2 linked regions of the Struthio camelus genome follow. The protein of the gene in region 1 purifies or fractionates together with the protein of each later gene. This does not show direct contact. Links are inferred from orthologs where the notes say so. Each region holds a gene or a part of one and is shown on either strand. Other genes may lie near its edges.

What was found.
Region 2: the proteins of TRAF7 (region 1) and MAP3K3 purify together in Homo sapiens (affinity purification with mass spectrometry; 5 studies listed by BioGRID and IntAct, with this or other methods). This does not show direct contact. The link is inferred for Struthio camelus from reciprocal best matches to the Homo sapiens genes TRAF7 and MAP3K3.

Annotation. Positions count from the first base shown.
Region 1 is NC_090956.1:1,804,960-1,812,824, forward strand, and holds the start of TRAF7 (E3 ubiquitin-protein ligase TRAF7), read right to left. Parts: upstream 3,175-7,865; 5' UTR 3,036-3,174; intron 2,348-3,035; exon of another isoform or gene 2,209-2,347; intron 1-2,208. UniProt on the Homo sapiens protein: E3 ubiquitin and SUMO-protein ligase that plays a role in different biological processes such as innate immunity, inflammation or apoptosis. Potentiates MAP3K3-mediated activation of JUN/AP1 and DDIT3 transcriptional regulators.
Region 2 is NC_090966.1:4,212,949-4,220,610, forward strand, and holds the start of MAP3K3 (mitogen-activated protein kinase kinase kinase 3), read left to right. Parts: upstream 1-4,599; 5' UTR 4,600-4,861; coding exon 4,862-4,865; intron 4,866-7,662. UniProt on the Homo sapiens protein: Component of a protein kinase signal transduction cascade. Mediates activation of the NF-kappa-B, AP1 and DDIT3 transcriptional regulators.

The sequences.
Region 1 (7,865 bases):
GAAAGAGGGGTGGCATGTACCCCCACGTTCACTGGGATCAAAGTCAGAACAAAGATCAGGCCCATCTCTTCTGCGGCCCCAGGCGGCCGCTACATCCTCCTGTCCCGACCCTATGAGAAAGGGGACATGGCTGGTACGTGCCTGATCTTGCCCACAGTAAAGGGGTACAGCCAGGGAAGGGAAGAAGAACAGCACAAAAACAGGAAGGGAAGAATTCTGAAAGACTGAACTTGTCCACATAATCAAAGCATTTAGATAGCAAAGCCAGGCAGGATTTTCTCTCAAGCGTTTCTCTCAAGGAGCCCTTCTCCTGGCTCAGATGGGCTCAACCGACACAATCTGAAAGGCAGGTCCAGCCATGCTTTAAGGAGCACCACAGTTATGGCTAGAGGGGGCTAGTAAGATCCCTTTTAATAGGCAAATGTTCAGCCCATGAGGTGACTAACCACCGAATGCAAACTGAAGTCACCTGAAGCTGCACAACGTTCAGGATCAATCCCAAATAAGGCACAGTCACTTCTGCTGCAGTTCCTTCCAGGGTAGAGCAGACACAAACACAATCATGCTGGGCTCAACAACTTCCCAGAGCCCAAGGCCCTCCTTACAGCTCTAGCTGGGCTGTTCTGTCTGGGGACCCCCAGGGAGGGAAAGGTTGACAGCGGAAGGGTTTCAGCCAGGTGACACAAACTCACTCGGGCAGCTCCATAAGTGGCTTAAGACCATCGAAGGCTGCACTGCCACAGAAAAGGGCAGTCGTGCGCCCAGCCCATCTCACCACGCGTTCCTGCTACCACCCTCATGCTGGCAAAGCTGCTGGTATTGCCACGTCATCCCACAAGTCAGGAAACCAAACTACCTGAAAATGTGAGGTTGGGGGTTCTTTTGTTGGGTTCAGTCAACTTAACACCATCACGAAAACTCACGTTTAGGTGTTATCTGTGAAGCTGTCTGCATTCCCTAACCGAATACTCTGGTCACTCCATTTGACCCAGGTTGCCCACTACTGCTTGGTAAAATTTAACCTCCCTCACTGGAGATCATTCCTTTCTGCAGGGCAGTTTAACCTGCAAGTGATCTCTTGCTGCATGCTGTAGCGCTCACCACTGAACAAAACAGCAAAGCTGGAGCTTTCTCCATCATCCTGGCTGGATTTACCACGGCCTTTCTCAGCCTTACTTGAGACAGCAGTGCCCAGGGTGCAGGGGACCCCAGGATTTGGAGAGGGACCTGGCAGACTGCGGGCCAGTTCCTGGATCCTACAGTTTTCTCCATGACCCTTAGCAGGTCCCCAGAACTCTTTGACTCTCCAGGCCCCAGGTGTGCAATGAGGACAGCGCTGTACGTTCTCTTGCCAATGCTGATGATCAGCCCTTTGGACTATTGGTTATTAGACATCTGTATGCTACTTAACACAACACAACTCCAATTTCTGGTAGTGCCTCCAGCACTATTGCCTTGCAATAGGAGAAAATACGGATTTATTTTAGCAGTGGCAAATGGATGCACGTAAAACAGATAGTAGGAGATCCCTGTCCCAGAGCTTCAACTGCAAGGAGCATGAGAAGGAGGCTAAGCAAATGCAACACTCAGGTGGCCAGGACCAGAAAAGCACTGACACCTCTCCACAGAAGGTTACCTTCACCACAATGCATTTTCCTGGAACCACCTCTTCCCTTCACACAGCTCCCAGGGAGCCATGTAAAGGGATGCTGTCACAGAAGTAATTGACTTTCTCATGCTGCTTTTGCTCAGCAAAGGCATTCTGGAACCATCCATCGCTCATACCGCCCTCTCCTCTACAAACAGACCAAAGAGTCACTACAGCTCTAAGCAGGAATCACTACCTCCACTGACAGGCAGACACTTGAAGGCAACATGCAACAGCTATTTAACAGGAACACTAACCACTTAAGATAGGGTGAAAAGAACATACCATCAGGGTAAAACTGTGCAAGAATTCAAAGGACGCAAATTAAAGTACTTGGGTTGAAACAAAGTGTTAGGCAACATTTTCAAAGTTGAAAAAACACACTGCTATGCCAGAGTTCCTCACAACACAGTTACCTCCCATAAAGAGCTACAATAACCTGGACCTGGCTTGCTACATATATATCAAATTCTGCTGACTTATGTACCAAGTTTTCTTCTCAGGCTCATGCACCCCCAGCAGACAGTCTGTCTGAGCCACTGTCTTTGATAGCACCTTACCTCAAAAGCAAGTCGAACTGAAAGAAAGTCCACACTTTCGGGCTTCACACAACTCAACAGGATCATGAGGTCAAAATCATGCATCAAATAGGAGAAAAGCGTTCGACAGCAAGTCTGTAAGAGGAACAGTGGCTGCAAGCTGGCAGGAGAATAAGGCAGAAGTAAAAAGGATGTTGAGATGAAAGGATGACAGCACAGTTTTACTGCCTGCTCTGAGCAGAGAGACGTGTAATCATCACGGGGCAGCTACAGAAATCTACCACCAAATGTCCCATATTGCATAAGATGCGGATCCAAAGCAGAAGGAAACGAGGTTACTCGGAGATCAAGAGAGAAGCACGAGCAACACGTGCTACGTGTCAGACAAGCAGTAGGACGGTCAGAGACAAAACCAGACGTGCCCTGCGACCAGGTGTATCGGACAGCACGGGCTGTGAAGGGAAGGCAGCCGAGGAAAAGCGAGACACGGACAGGATTTAGAGTGCAACGCGGGAGGAGCACGCCAGCTCCTCCGGGCGCTGGAAGCATCCCCCCGACGCTACACCGAGCTCAAAGATACATCAACACGGAAGGGCAGAGGGAGGAAGACAACACGGCGCTGCTGCCAAGCGGGCTGCGGCTCCCCGCTGCCCCAGGCGGGTTCTGGGGCTCCCGGCCAGCCGGGGGCAACTCCCGGAGCGGGGGCAACCGCCGGCCCCGCCGCCCCCCGGCCCCGCCGCCGCCTCCGCAGAGCCCCCGGCCCAGCGCCCCGCACCCCCGGCCCGGCCCTCAGGGCTCCCCTCGGCCCCCCGGGGCTCCCCTCGGCCCCGGCCCGGCCTCGCTCGCACCTGGTAGCGGCGGCGGCCGGAGCGCCGGTGCCCGGTCCCGGCACATCGCGGCCCCGGCCTGCTCCCCGCTCCGCTGGCGGCTCAGCTGCCTGCCCGCCCGGGCCGGAAGCCCCACGCCCCACGCTCCTCGGGATTTGTAGTCCCGCCCTCCAGCCTTCCACCGGCTCCTGCCGAGCCTCGGTGACGTCAGGACTACACTTCCCAGCAGCCCTCGCCGCGCCGCGCTGATTGGCGCGTCTCCGGTCAGTCTGTGCTACAAGCACTGTTGCTACTGGTCTCACTCTCCCTCCTTCAGGGGGCCAATCGGGCGGCGGAAGACCCCCACCACCTCGGGCCACGCTGCGCCGCGCGGCGCCATTGGAGCGAGGACGAGGCAGCCACCAATGAGCGCCGGGAGAGGTGGGCTGGCGATCACGCCAACTGCTCGCGATTGGCTGGGCCTGCAGGCAGCCTGCCCAATGGCGACGCGGAGGAGAGTATAAAGAGCGCAGCGAAGGCACGCCCCGGTCTTTCCAACCGCGAGGTGAGTGGGGTGGGTGGTGGCGGCGGGGCGGGAGCGGGGCGAGCCGGTGATGATCACTGACCTTCTGACACCTCGTCTGAGGGCGGCGGGCGGCCGCGGCCCCTGCTGACGCTCCGCGGCTGAGGCTCGAGGGAGCCGCGGCGGGGTCGGCCGGGCGGCGCGGCCCGCTCTCACCGCGCGGCCTTCTCTCTCCTCAGGGAGCGGCGGGAACCGGCTCGGACCGGCGGGCACCGGCCGCCGGCGGCCCGAGGGACGGCGAGGCGGCAGCGGTGACCGGCGCCGGGCCCTGCCTGAGCCCGCGGCGCGCTCGGGTAGCGGCGGCGACTCGTTCACGGAGTTAGCTGGTAAAACGCGGTGTTTCCGCCCTGTCTCCGGCTCGCAGCGCTGGGAAGCGGTGCGGAGCCACAGGCGGGGTGACTGCCCGCGCCTGTAAGTTACCTCAGGAAAGTTAGAGCCCTAGGGAACGCCCGAGCGGATTTCAAGGCAAGTGAAAGTGAGAAGCTGTGGCTGGAGTAACTGTTTCGTGGCCTTAAAAGAGTTTTTATTTTATGCGTAGAGTAGGCTGGGAGCTCCGGAGCAGAACAAGCGATGCAGCTCCACGTACAGCTTAAAAGTGCACTGGGTGAGAGGAGATCACTTCTGGGGTGTCTGTATCAGCTGCTGGCTTTGATCCTGTACAGCCTGGGGCTCAGGGCAGTTTCTAAACGCAAAGGAGTAGCTGCGGGACTGCCCAAAACACAAAGAGTCAAAAGCAATTCTTAGCAGTGAGCCCGATAGCTTAAGGCAACAGGAATGGAAGGTAGTGGGTGCAAAACCGTTGGTAAGTGTAAGAATTCATAGGTAGCACTTCTTGCAATACGTGTGGACCCTAGTACTAGACTGTTGTGTGGATACTTTATATCTGGGAGTCCTTGGTACTATCCTAGCTGTTTGGGGAACATAAGCTGCTCAGACACTGTTCTTTCGACGTTTTTGAATTAAGTTTAGCCTTGTAATCTTTCAATTATTTGCTGCTATGTCTCCGTTTTGGCTTCTGTATAAGGCTAATTTTACAGCTTCCAGTTTTAATAAAGTTGTCAAAAAAAACTTCTTTTGCTAAGCTTTTTGTTCATCAATCCCATAGGTGACATGTAATACTTCAGACTACCTCTGAGCCTTGCATTTGCGTACCTAGCACAGCATTTCTACTATTCCTACTTAATTTAAGAGAGCGAGAACATCTTAACATGTGCACTACAGCTTAACGGTAGTCTATTTTCATTTAATTCTGACTGCTTTCGTTGGAGCAGCTGAACCCATACTGATACTGGAAGAAGTTAGTCTAGATATGTTCAAGAATGAGCTGAACTGTTTGATTCAGTAGTTCAGGTGTGAGAGAATAATCAAAATTCCACTGGAGCCACAAAGTTTATTTAAAAAAAATTTTATTAACAGGAATGAAACGAGCTGTAAACAAGAGCCAGCAAAAACTAGAAGTGCTTGTAATGCTGAGTCCTTAGGCTTGTTTGAATGTACTAGCAATTCTCTATCACTTGGTGGCAGTAAAGGCCCATGTAAAAAAAAATGCCCAAAACAGTCTGAAGAGGAGCTTAAAGGCAAGGTTAGTATGCAGGCATTCTGAGACAAGTAGTATATATAGGGAGCTGGTAGCTGGGTAGCAGTGGGTGTTGAGTCTCAGGTGTATCACTGAGAAATACCACAAATACAGTTGGGATGTTTCTGATTTATTGAAGTTAGCTCCCAGTAGGCATATTTAGTTAAAGCCCTGCAAAGGGTGGCATTTAGATCTTTCCTATTTAAATGTTTTTTAATTGGTTTTGCTCCCACACTCGGGAAGGAAGGTAAAAGTTGTCAGCTTTTTTGTCAAGATGCGAGGCGGCTGCCCTGCTAGAAAGAGGAAAGGCAACTCTGATAGAAGTAGAATAGTAGAAGTATACTGCTGATTCTTTTTCCCTTCCAGTAGACTGCCTGTAGCTTTCAGGGTAGTGTGGCCATGCAGTGACTGGCATCTTAGGATGAGAGCTGCTGTTGCACAGCTAGGTTGACTCTCAGAAAATAAGGTGCTGTGAAGGCAGGCTTGGGGAACAAACAGCTCCATGATGTTTTAACTGCCTGATGACTCCTTTCCTGTGCATCTCTGCTGGCCTGGCCCTTGCACAGCTGTGTAAGCTGTGATACCAAAATACTGGTACTTTACAGTTGGGGCTTAGAGAAAAATTCCACTCGTGTTTTTTTTTTTTAAACTGCAGCCAGCAAGTTTTTGTTAAACAGCCCAGAAAGAGAATGGAGGGGGGTGTAATATAAGCAGCTTCGTGTTAGAGATGCTAACTAAGTAGCAGCTACAGGAGCACAGCAAAACTTACCAAAGCATGAAACAAATTTATCCAGATTACTGCTCACTTCTTGGTAGTGCTTGATTAACTTGCAAATCCTTTTCTGTGTTGTAATGTGCAAACAATTAATGAGGCCTTGTTAATGTGAAACTTGAAGAGGCCTGACTGCTGTTCTCCCAAAGGATATGCTTGCTGCTGCTAGCAGGGAGCAGGCACTGTCCAGTAATACACTCCTGGATATTCCTGCTATCCTAGCACATGCAGCAGGGATCTACTCTAGACTATTCACTGCAAATAACTGCTGTAGGAACAGTCTTTCAACCCATAATCCCCTAAACTTTTGGGAGAACTGCTGCTTACAGCTTCATCTGCACTTTTAATTTTTTGGTTTAAGAGACTTGCTTCTCCCTAAAAGCTATTTAAGAAAAAGTGTTATGTTCTAAGTAGGTTTATTTTAAGATTCCCTTCTCGTACTGTTACTGTGCTGGACTTGCCTGAAACAGTAGCTCTAAGTACCAGTTCTTTGTGCACTGCTCATTTTAATGTAGCTAAACGAGGAAAAGTGCAATTCTGAGGACTCCTTTGCCTCGTTGCCTGGCTGAATCCTGTTGGCCTCAAGCCCTCAGCAGCTGCAGAGAGACTTCCCTGCACTTAAGGAATGCCAGGTTGTAGCTCAAGTAAACACCCCAGGCAAAGCAAGGGGCAGGTATGTCTGAACTAACCACTGACAAAGCCAATGCTTTGCTGGCATCTGGGAAGGGTGAACGGGTGATTTATTGTGTAGCAGTCCATTTAAGGCGGTGCAGGCAGGCTCAATGGAATGGGTACCTGGATGTCATGCATGTGGAATTTGTAAATACCTGCAGCTTGAGAAAATTGCCAACGGCCAAACATTTCATCCACATTCAGATTTATACTTAGCGCTTAAAAGTGCCAAATGCCTAGCACAGAAATAAGGGGTGAGGATTCCACTGAAGAGTGCTGGCACAAGACTGTTAAACCTGTACAGTCAATGCTTACAGCATTCTCCTCAGCTTTCTTCAGTTAAAAGAGCTATCCCAAGAGAACCCTGAAGATAACAAAGCATTGTTGCAGTCTAAAAATACTATCACGCTTACAGTAAGGTAAGTAGAAGAAGCTGCAATACATTAGATTTCTTCTCAAAGTACTAGAAACTGCAGTAATGGCGAACCAATGTCTTATCAAACAGATAAACAGTCAGGAATTCTCTGTACAACAGATATATTTGCAGGAGCTTACTCAAACAGACAGCTAAGCTCTGCAGGGAAAAGGAGAAATCTTCATCAAGGAAGGTATGTTACAACACACAAAGGACTTACATAAGCAATTACAAAAATGGTTGCCTTGAAAACAAAGCTTTCCTATGTGCCACAGGCCAAGAAGTCTGACTAGGTGAATCCCAGGTATATGGGAGAAGAAAACTGAATTCAAGCTATTTTCTTACTCAGTTGTTTTGTGAGGAGAAGGCATTCTCCTTGGTCACGCAATACTTAACTTTTCACTGCACTGTATTAACTTTAAAGAACTCTCACACTGCTCCTTGCTGAGTATTATCCCCGCTGATTTGGTGGAGAAGCAGATCGGTCTAATGACTGCCCGTGGCCCTGGAAGAGTTCTGACTTATGGCAAGGTCGGAGCCTACGCAAGTCTCTCAGGAAAGGCAACTACGAGCAACACAGGAGCGGGATGGCCTGCCGCAACTGGTGTGGGAAAGGCCTGTTTCCCTGGGGGAACCCAAAGCGCTCGCAGCGTGTGACAAAACGCCTCGGGGGGCTCGGAGAGCAGTGCTTGGAACGTGCTGCAGCACGGCCAGCATCAGGGCTGGCTGGAAAGAGCTTTTTCTGCTACTGCTTTCATTCCACGTGTCTCAGCTCACCTTTTATGCAGATACAGACACAACAGACAGACATGCACACACTGTCCACGAGGAGAGAGCGCGGCACATGAACACTT
Region 2 (7,662 bases), on another chromosome or scaffold:
GAAATGAAGCTTCTGTTCTGGAAAGCAGTAGCTTTAAAAGGATGTGGGCAACCTATGTGGAAAACCACAGAATATCAGTTTGTACCATGTTATGGTAAAATGAATAGCTTGATTCTTGTGCTCAAAATCAGCCTAACATTAAGTAGATAGTAAACGTGAAAAAGATGATTGTTCACTTTTTCTCACAGTTTAAAAAACAGAGTGCCTGCTCAACTTTCAAAGTAGAGACTGTGACTCTAAGTTCAGATCAGGAAGGGGGTCCCAGCTTGTCTAGAAAAAATATAAAGAGGGGGAGAATTGCCTATCTTGATAATTGCCTATAGCCTGCTGTGATCATGTCTGTAAGATGAGAATAGAACTACAAATCAGCAGATAAAAATTGCTGGTTTGGACATCAGGCTTGATAGGTGGGTGAAGCGATGAGATGTTAAAGACAAATAATTCTATTTTTCCAGTTCTTTAAAAGCAACAAGAAGAAAGAACTTCAGTGAAATCCAAGCTTCTAGGTGTTTGGAGACAGAAAGAACAAGTTTTACCAGGATGGCGTTCTCCTACCATCTGGCAGGAATTCCTGGCTCACTGTCATGGATTGCAACTAGCTAGTCTATTATCTTTTTGATTTAAGTAAACGAACTTTCTACACAAAGGAGAGGCAGTAGGTCTCATTTAACAGGACTTCAACTAAGAATTTTCTGTGATGACGTGTAAGAACTAGAAGACAGACAAAAATACCCAAGGGCGAGGTGGCAATAGAGTGTTTTGACCTCAGAGCAGGTACGATGGGGAATTAATACCGAATTTCTCGAGTACTGGTCCCATGGGTAATCTCATCTAAACCTTTCAGGAATGACCTTGGCACAAAAAACGAGTGCGATAATCAAATTTGATGAACAAAAGTGGTAGGCTTCATAATGCAAGAGAACTAGAATATCTTTGTCTTTTGATGACTTGGAGTGAGAAACAGAGATGAGATGAAATGTAGCAATGGAAAGTGCAAGGCAGTGAATTTAGGGGCGAGAAGAAATTGGCCAAGAATGCTAAGAGTTTATTACTTGAAAGTGACTGAGGGAAGGAAGGTGTATTTACTAGTTGATAAAGGATAGTAATGAGCTGCACTGAGGCTGTGGAAAAAAGCATGTAGAAAAGTTGGTTTAAGGGGAATAGTGATGCTGTCATACAGGGGATATGAATTCAAAGGGGAACAGGGACAAAAAAGGCTTTCAGGGAGATACCACAAATACAAAGCTGGTATTATGAAATGAGGGAGTGGTTTACTTGGCTATTAAAAATGAAGCCTGAAGGGAGATATGATTATCATCTTGATGTATTAGTGAGAAAACAGCAGGGAATGCAAAGGATTATTTAAGTTAAAGGATAATCTTGACATGAAAACAAATGGCTATAAGCTGGACATGACTAGTTCTAGATGGGAAAACTAGAAATCTTTTTCTAACGTGAGAGCAATAAGACAGGAAGCACTAAAATAAGAGAAGTCTAAACACTAACAGCATTATTAGTATTAGTAATAATTAACATTACAATCAACACTGAAAAAAGACTGGTTTTAGGATGGAAACTTTGAGGTGGGGCCTATGGAATCATCTAGTCCAACTTCCTGCTCAAAGCAAGACCAACTTCAAAGTTAAATTATTTGGCTTTGTACATACCTCTTGCTTTAGAGAGGCTGGATCTGTTGATCTAAATAAGCATTCCTTTCCAGATTTCTGTACCTATGTAGTAGGATGAGGCAAAGACCTTTTGTTATCCCAACTAGACAGAGTCAAAGTGAATGATATCATAGATGATGTTGTCTGTGGCTAAATCCTAAATTCCTCCTGGGATGTGGGATTTAGGTTCCCTCTCTTTCCCACTCTTCGGAGCAATTTTCCTTTTGCATCTATTTTCCTTCTCCTTCTGGCTTATCCAGTTGATACAACCTCTTTAATGTTGTTGCTGTGTTGCATATAAGGAAAAACATTTAGAAGACAATTCATGTGCTGCTAGAAATTTGCCAGGTTGAAAAGCAGCTGGTAAAGCCAGCTACTTGAGGTGGGTTTCCTAGCAGCAAGGTGGCCTTTGCAATGCCAGGGAAGAGGAGCTGTGCTTATTACAAACCCACCCTCTGCTGTCCATTTGCATCCTTGCTTTTTGTGTTGAAAGAAGCAGGATTGGACTTTAAAAGCAAGCAGCAGCAGATTTTTCTCTCTTTTTTTTTTTCCCCTCCCCTCTTTAAGAAGGAAGTACTTGATATGAAGTAGAAACTGTTTTTTCCCCTCCCCTGTATCTTTAAAAGGCTCCAAAAGATGCCTAGCTGTAGTTGTTACCGTAGGAACAAGCAGAGCATGGTACTTCAGCCAGACCCCCAAATTATGCTTATCTTGTTAGTGTCGTAGCATCACTGTCACTGCTCTTCAATTTTCTACATCTGTTTAGTCTGCTGAAATCGGGGCAATGCTACAGAGCTTGAAAAGCATGGAGGATTCAGAGGACCTTTAAGAAGGCTCTGCATTTTGGCAAGGATACATGCAAGTACTCCACCTCTTTCACTGCAAGCAGAGAGCAGGCTGAGAAATGACTGAACTCTGGCCCACCACTACTTATGCAGGAGACTTCTTGAAACAAGATATTTCTTAAATTGCAGAAAAGAGTCTTAAAAACCCCCACCAGCCCACAGGTGGAGAGGAAGCAGAGGCTAGGAAAGAGCAAACTGCAATGAAGGTGTCGTGTGTGATTAGCAATTGTAGAGTGTACAAAGGGACACTGCAGGCTCTCCGGCAGCTGAAGACTTTGAATCATGCCTGGATGTCATTTTAAAAGATGTGCTTTGAATTGAACACAGCTTATGGAGTTGGAGGTGGGAATTACTGGGTAAATTCAACAGGGTTACATTAGATGATTTTTAAGGTGAAGTGGGACTATTATGACCTGTGTTTTTCGAGGGGGGGGGGGGGAACACACAACCAGTTAAAACCAGTGGGCTTATGCCAGTTATTAGATGATTTTTTTTTTCTTAAGTCATTCTTGGAGTAGGAAGAAATTATTTTGGTGTATCAAAATCAAGAAGCCTGAGCAAATCAGTAAGTCTATTAAAAAGCTGCCCTTTGTAGGGAGCAGTGGAAGATAGGAAAGCTGGGGGTTTTGAGGGGGAGGAGAGTTGTGGGTCTGCTATATTGTGTTTTGGTTTTCCCCCTCCGCCCCTAAGTTGTTTATATTAATTTAGACTGTAAAGTCGCTGGAGAGCTATTTAGCAAGAATGTATTCTGCTTATGGTTTGTGTGTCCAGGACAGCCTGGCAGACAAATGCTAAAACTGCAGGAGATTGTCGTCAGGTGTCTCACATCAGTGAGCGAGTGAATGTAGCAGGTCAGCAGTTCCACTCCTAACAACACAAACACTCTCTCATTAACATCAACCCCTAATGAAAGGGGAGGAAATAATGAACTTCTAGGCTAGGGTTCAATCCTTCAAGTTGAAACCACAGAACTTCACCTTCACATCAGATAATTTTTAAGAGATATGCTGTACCATTGCAGCACTTAACATCATGCTTGTGGAGAAGCTGAAGCAGTGGTTTTGAAGGCTTTAAAAATGGAAGAACTATTTATTCTGTGACTCTTGCATCTTTCACTTGCTGCAGTGTGCAGGCAAACTGTGGGATACCTGTGATGACCTGGGGACAAAATCAAGGTTTGTTTATGGTAATTGGATCTTTTACTAGACCACCTACTAGCAGATAACATCTCTCCCTAAGAATAACCATGTCTTGTGTGATGCCCTGGGTAGTTGGTCTAATGCTGTTGTTTGTTGGGGTTGTGTAGGGTTTTGGGGGGGTTTTTTGTTTGTTTGTTTTGCTTTGAAGAGGGGAAAAAAACCACTGTCACCCTTTGCTCATTCTGGAAGTTTTGGGGCTTTTATTTTATTTTTTTTCTTGAATTAAAAAAAAGGGGGGGGGGGATGCTTTACTCTTACTTTTGTTTTTAAACTTTATTTGCTAAGCTCTACCTACAGTGAAAGCAATGCAGCAAGGGACAAGAGACGCCTGCCTTCCTCTGGGTGACTTGGATATCCCCCCAAAATAGTGGCTTAAGGTGAGGAGGTGCCCTGGATTTGGCTTTTTCCAGAGTGAAAGGCAGCTGAGGTGAGGAGGAAGGAAAAGAGGGGGGGGGGGGCCCTCTTGCAGGGTGGGTGACTGGTGCTAGCCCGGCCCCTGACAGGAGGGCGAATGGTGCAACGCTGTCGCAGCTGGCTCTAGAACCCGGCCGCGCGCCCTGCTCTAGAACCCGGCCAGCAGCCGGAGGGCGGAGCCGCCGCGCCGCCGGTCAGCCTGATTGGCAGGCGGGGGAGGGGCGTGGCCGAGGCTATCCGCCCTCCCGGCGGGCGGGAGGGGGCGGGGCCAGCCCCGTCGAGCGGGGCCCCCCCTGATTGGCAGCCGGCGCGGCGGCGGGCGGGGCGGGCGCCGCGGCTGGCGGCGCGGTCAGGTGGGTGACTCGGCGGCCGCGATTGGCGGGCAGCGGCGGGTCGGCCCCTGTGATTGGCAGGCAGGCGGCGGCGGGTGCGCGGCGGCCGCCGAGCGGTTTGTTTTGCTCGCGGCCCGGGCGCCCTGTGGCGGCGGCGGCGGCGGCTGCGGCGGGGAGCGACCGGGACCGCCCCTGCCCCCCCCCTTCCTCCCCCCCCCTCCCCGCCGCCGCGGGGGCGGCCGGAGCGGGGCCCGCCGGAAGGAGACGGCGGCGGCGCGGGCCTGGGAATGTGGCGGCGGCCGTGAGCCCTCCCCCCTCGGCCCGGCCGCCATGGAGCCGCGGCGGTGACAGCCCCGCACCTCAACGCGCCGCCGCCCCGCGGGCGCGGACCCGGGCCCGCCGCCATGGGTAAGAGCGGGGGCCGCGGCGGGAGGGGGGGACCTAGGCCCGCTCGGGTCCTCCGGGCCCGGCCGCTGCGGCGGCTTCGTTGCCGCGGGGCGGGGAAGGGGGAGGGAAATCCCTGCAGCGAGCGGCCGCGCCGATTGTGGGGTTTCTGGGGGGATTTTTTTGAGGTAAAATCGCTCGGCGGGGTCGCGGGGCTGGCGGGGGCCGGGGCCGCTCGTCCCGCGGCGCGGCGTTGCGTGCTCGACCCGGCTGTGGAAATCCTGCCCGTGGCGTCGGTTGCGCCTTGGGATTCTGTCAAAACAGCGTTTTTCCTGCCTGCAGCCTCCGCTGGCGTCGGTTGCCCCGCTCAAGGCGGGCAGTTAACGCTCGGAAACGAGCACGGCAGCCGCAGGACTCCTTTCGCAGGCCAATAAATTGCTCTCGGAGTTGCCGTAACGATTAATTTTTTTCAGATGATGTGGCCTATGTGCTTTTGGGGGGGGGGGGAGGGAAGTGTAACCTGGTTCCTTTTTTAATTTAAAGAAGGGTCTTCGTGTACTGGTTTAGGTGAATTAAATATTTACCCTAGTATTTATGCTTGTATATTGGCAACGGAATTACTGCTGTTATCTTGAGCGCAGAGTTGCGTTGCTTTGGGGGCTGCAGCTTCAATTTTTCTTTGTGTGCCCTCCCTGAGTTTAGTGTCCTGAGGCTCTACTTCATTATTTAGTCTGTATGTGTAATCCTTATATTTATAATGTAAATCCATAAAGTATCGTGAATGTTGTTGAAAGCAGAAGCGAAGCAGCTCGATTCCCTTTGTACCCTTACCATTCCAGCTACAGTAACTCCTTTAGAACAAGTGTGTAATTTGCTTGGATTTTGTGAATACAACAGATGGATCTAGATCTAAGAGTAGGCTTCTCTTATGAAGAGAAGCATAGTATTATTCAGTCTGTTATCTCCTCCAAAGGAACCATCCCCATGGTCCTTAAGCTTGCAATAGTTGAGAAGGAAGGAGTTGGATTTCCACTTGGCAGTGGCAATTGTACACCTATTTCTAAAGATGTGAGCGCAGAATGAAAAGCTCACAGACCTTTCATAGACGGTTGTGCCATCGCAAACAGGTTACTACTGACAGGAATGATCTTATCGAAATTCAGTACGCAGTCGTGATCGAATCTTATACAGAATCATGGCGAGCGCGGTATGTCCTATTATACTTCTCTTCCATCTTGTTCTTGATAAACTAATCTGAAAGATACGTGCAATGGAAAGCCGTAAGGTATTAGCGTTGCAGTTTGTCATAACTCCGTTGACGCCCCTGAACCCTTCTGACAGTGGCTCTCTGGCACTTTACAGAAGGCTTCTACACAGAGCTCCTCCGCAGCGTTTAAAACACTGCTGTTTGCCTCTGTCGCAGAGAAGTGTGTACAGATCCGGGAAAGAGAGGAGAAAGCTGTGTTTAGGCTGAAGGTTTGTGGTAGACCTAGAACGAAATGCTCATTACAGGCCCAGCTGCAGCTGAGTCTTTCCCTCGATCTGCTCTTTTTTCCTGCCTATGTCACTTCCTTCCCTTGGCTCACACGCTTACCCATAACACAGCTCTTGGGTTTTGCTGCACTGACAGCCCCGGTGCGTTGTGGGGGAAGGGAGGAGGAGGGAGCCTACAGGTTAGTTCCAGTTTAAACCCTGACCTTTTTTTTTTGTGAAATTTTTTTTTGAATTTCTGTGTGAGAAGAGGTACCCCAAATAAGTATTACATGTATCAGATTCATAGAGAAGCTCTGATTTTTCTTTTCAGTCTATTTAAAAAAGGTGATTTGCAGTTCCCTAAAAGAGGAGGAGGTAAAGACAGTTTGTTGTCGCTAAGACTCTATTACAAAGTGTACCCAGTGTTTCCATCCTTCACAACATGCCACCAAATGAAAATTAAACTTCTCCATAACTTTTTTTCAAAGCTTTAATAGGTACTCCGTTTCTCTTCTTAACTTATGAGATGTACTCGTTGGCCCTGGATCTGCTAATTATTTGTGCAAACAGTCGTCTTGCTATTGTGGTGGTAGACAACAAAGAAACCTTTTTTTTGTTCATCTCTGCCTTTTTAAACAAACATTAGTGGCATCACATCTTCTATTATCATGCTATATGAAATAACATACTGGTTTATAGGGCTTTACAGACTTCCTGTTTTTACCAATCTGCAGATGCTTTTACTCTGTTGGTTTGAACTTCATGATTTTTTTCAAAACTATTTCCATTTCTGCCATAGCAAATACACAGGTCTGAGCAAGTCAGTGTAATAAACCATGTATTTGTTGAACTAAATGCTTTATACGGAGGAATAGCTTTCTCTGAGAGTAGCAGTTCCCCTTTATCGATGTTATAAAAATCCTTGAGTGTAGTTTTTAAAACATGAAAAGCATTTCCTGGACAACATCTTTCCCGCACAAAGCAGAACTGTGTTTCCCAGACCTACTGGAGACCTAGCAAAACAGGGTCTCTCAGTGCGCTTCAAAAATTGCTTGTTTTTTCGTTTGTAATAGCTTTTGCATTGTGTGATTAATGTGATGCTGCTGCATATACTGCTTTAAGGTTAGTCTGTAGGAATCCTGTATTTTGATGGAAATAAAGAAGCATTCATGCTTCTCAAGGTTAAATCCATTACAATGCAAACCTAAACACAAACATTTTTTCCATACACAAGCTCAGGTCAGTAGTTGACTTTCATTTTACACTGAATGAGAGAAATGCCCCTTCATTTCCTACCTCCCCAACGTAAGGATAAATCATAGAAGAGTATGTTTTAGCAGCAGAAAGC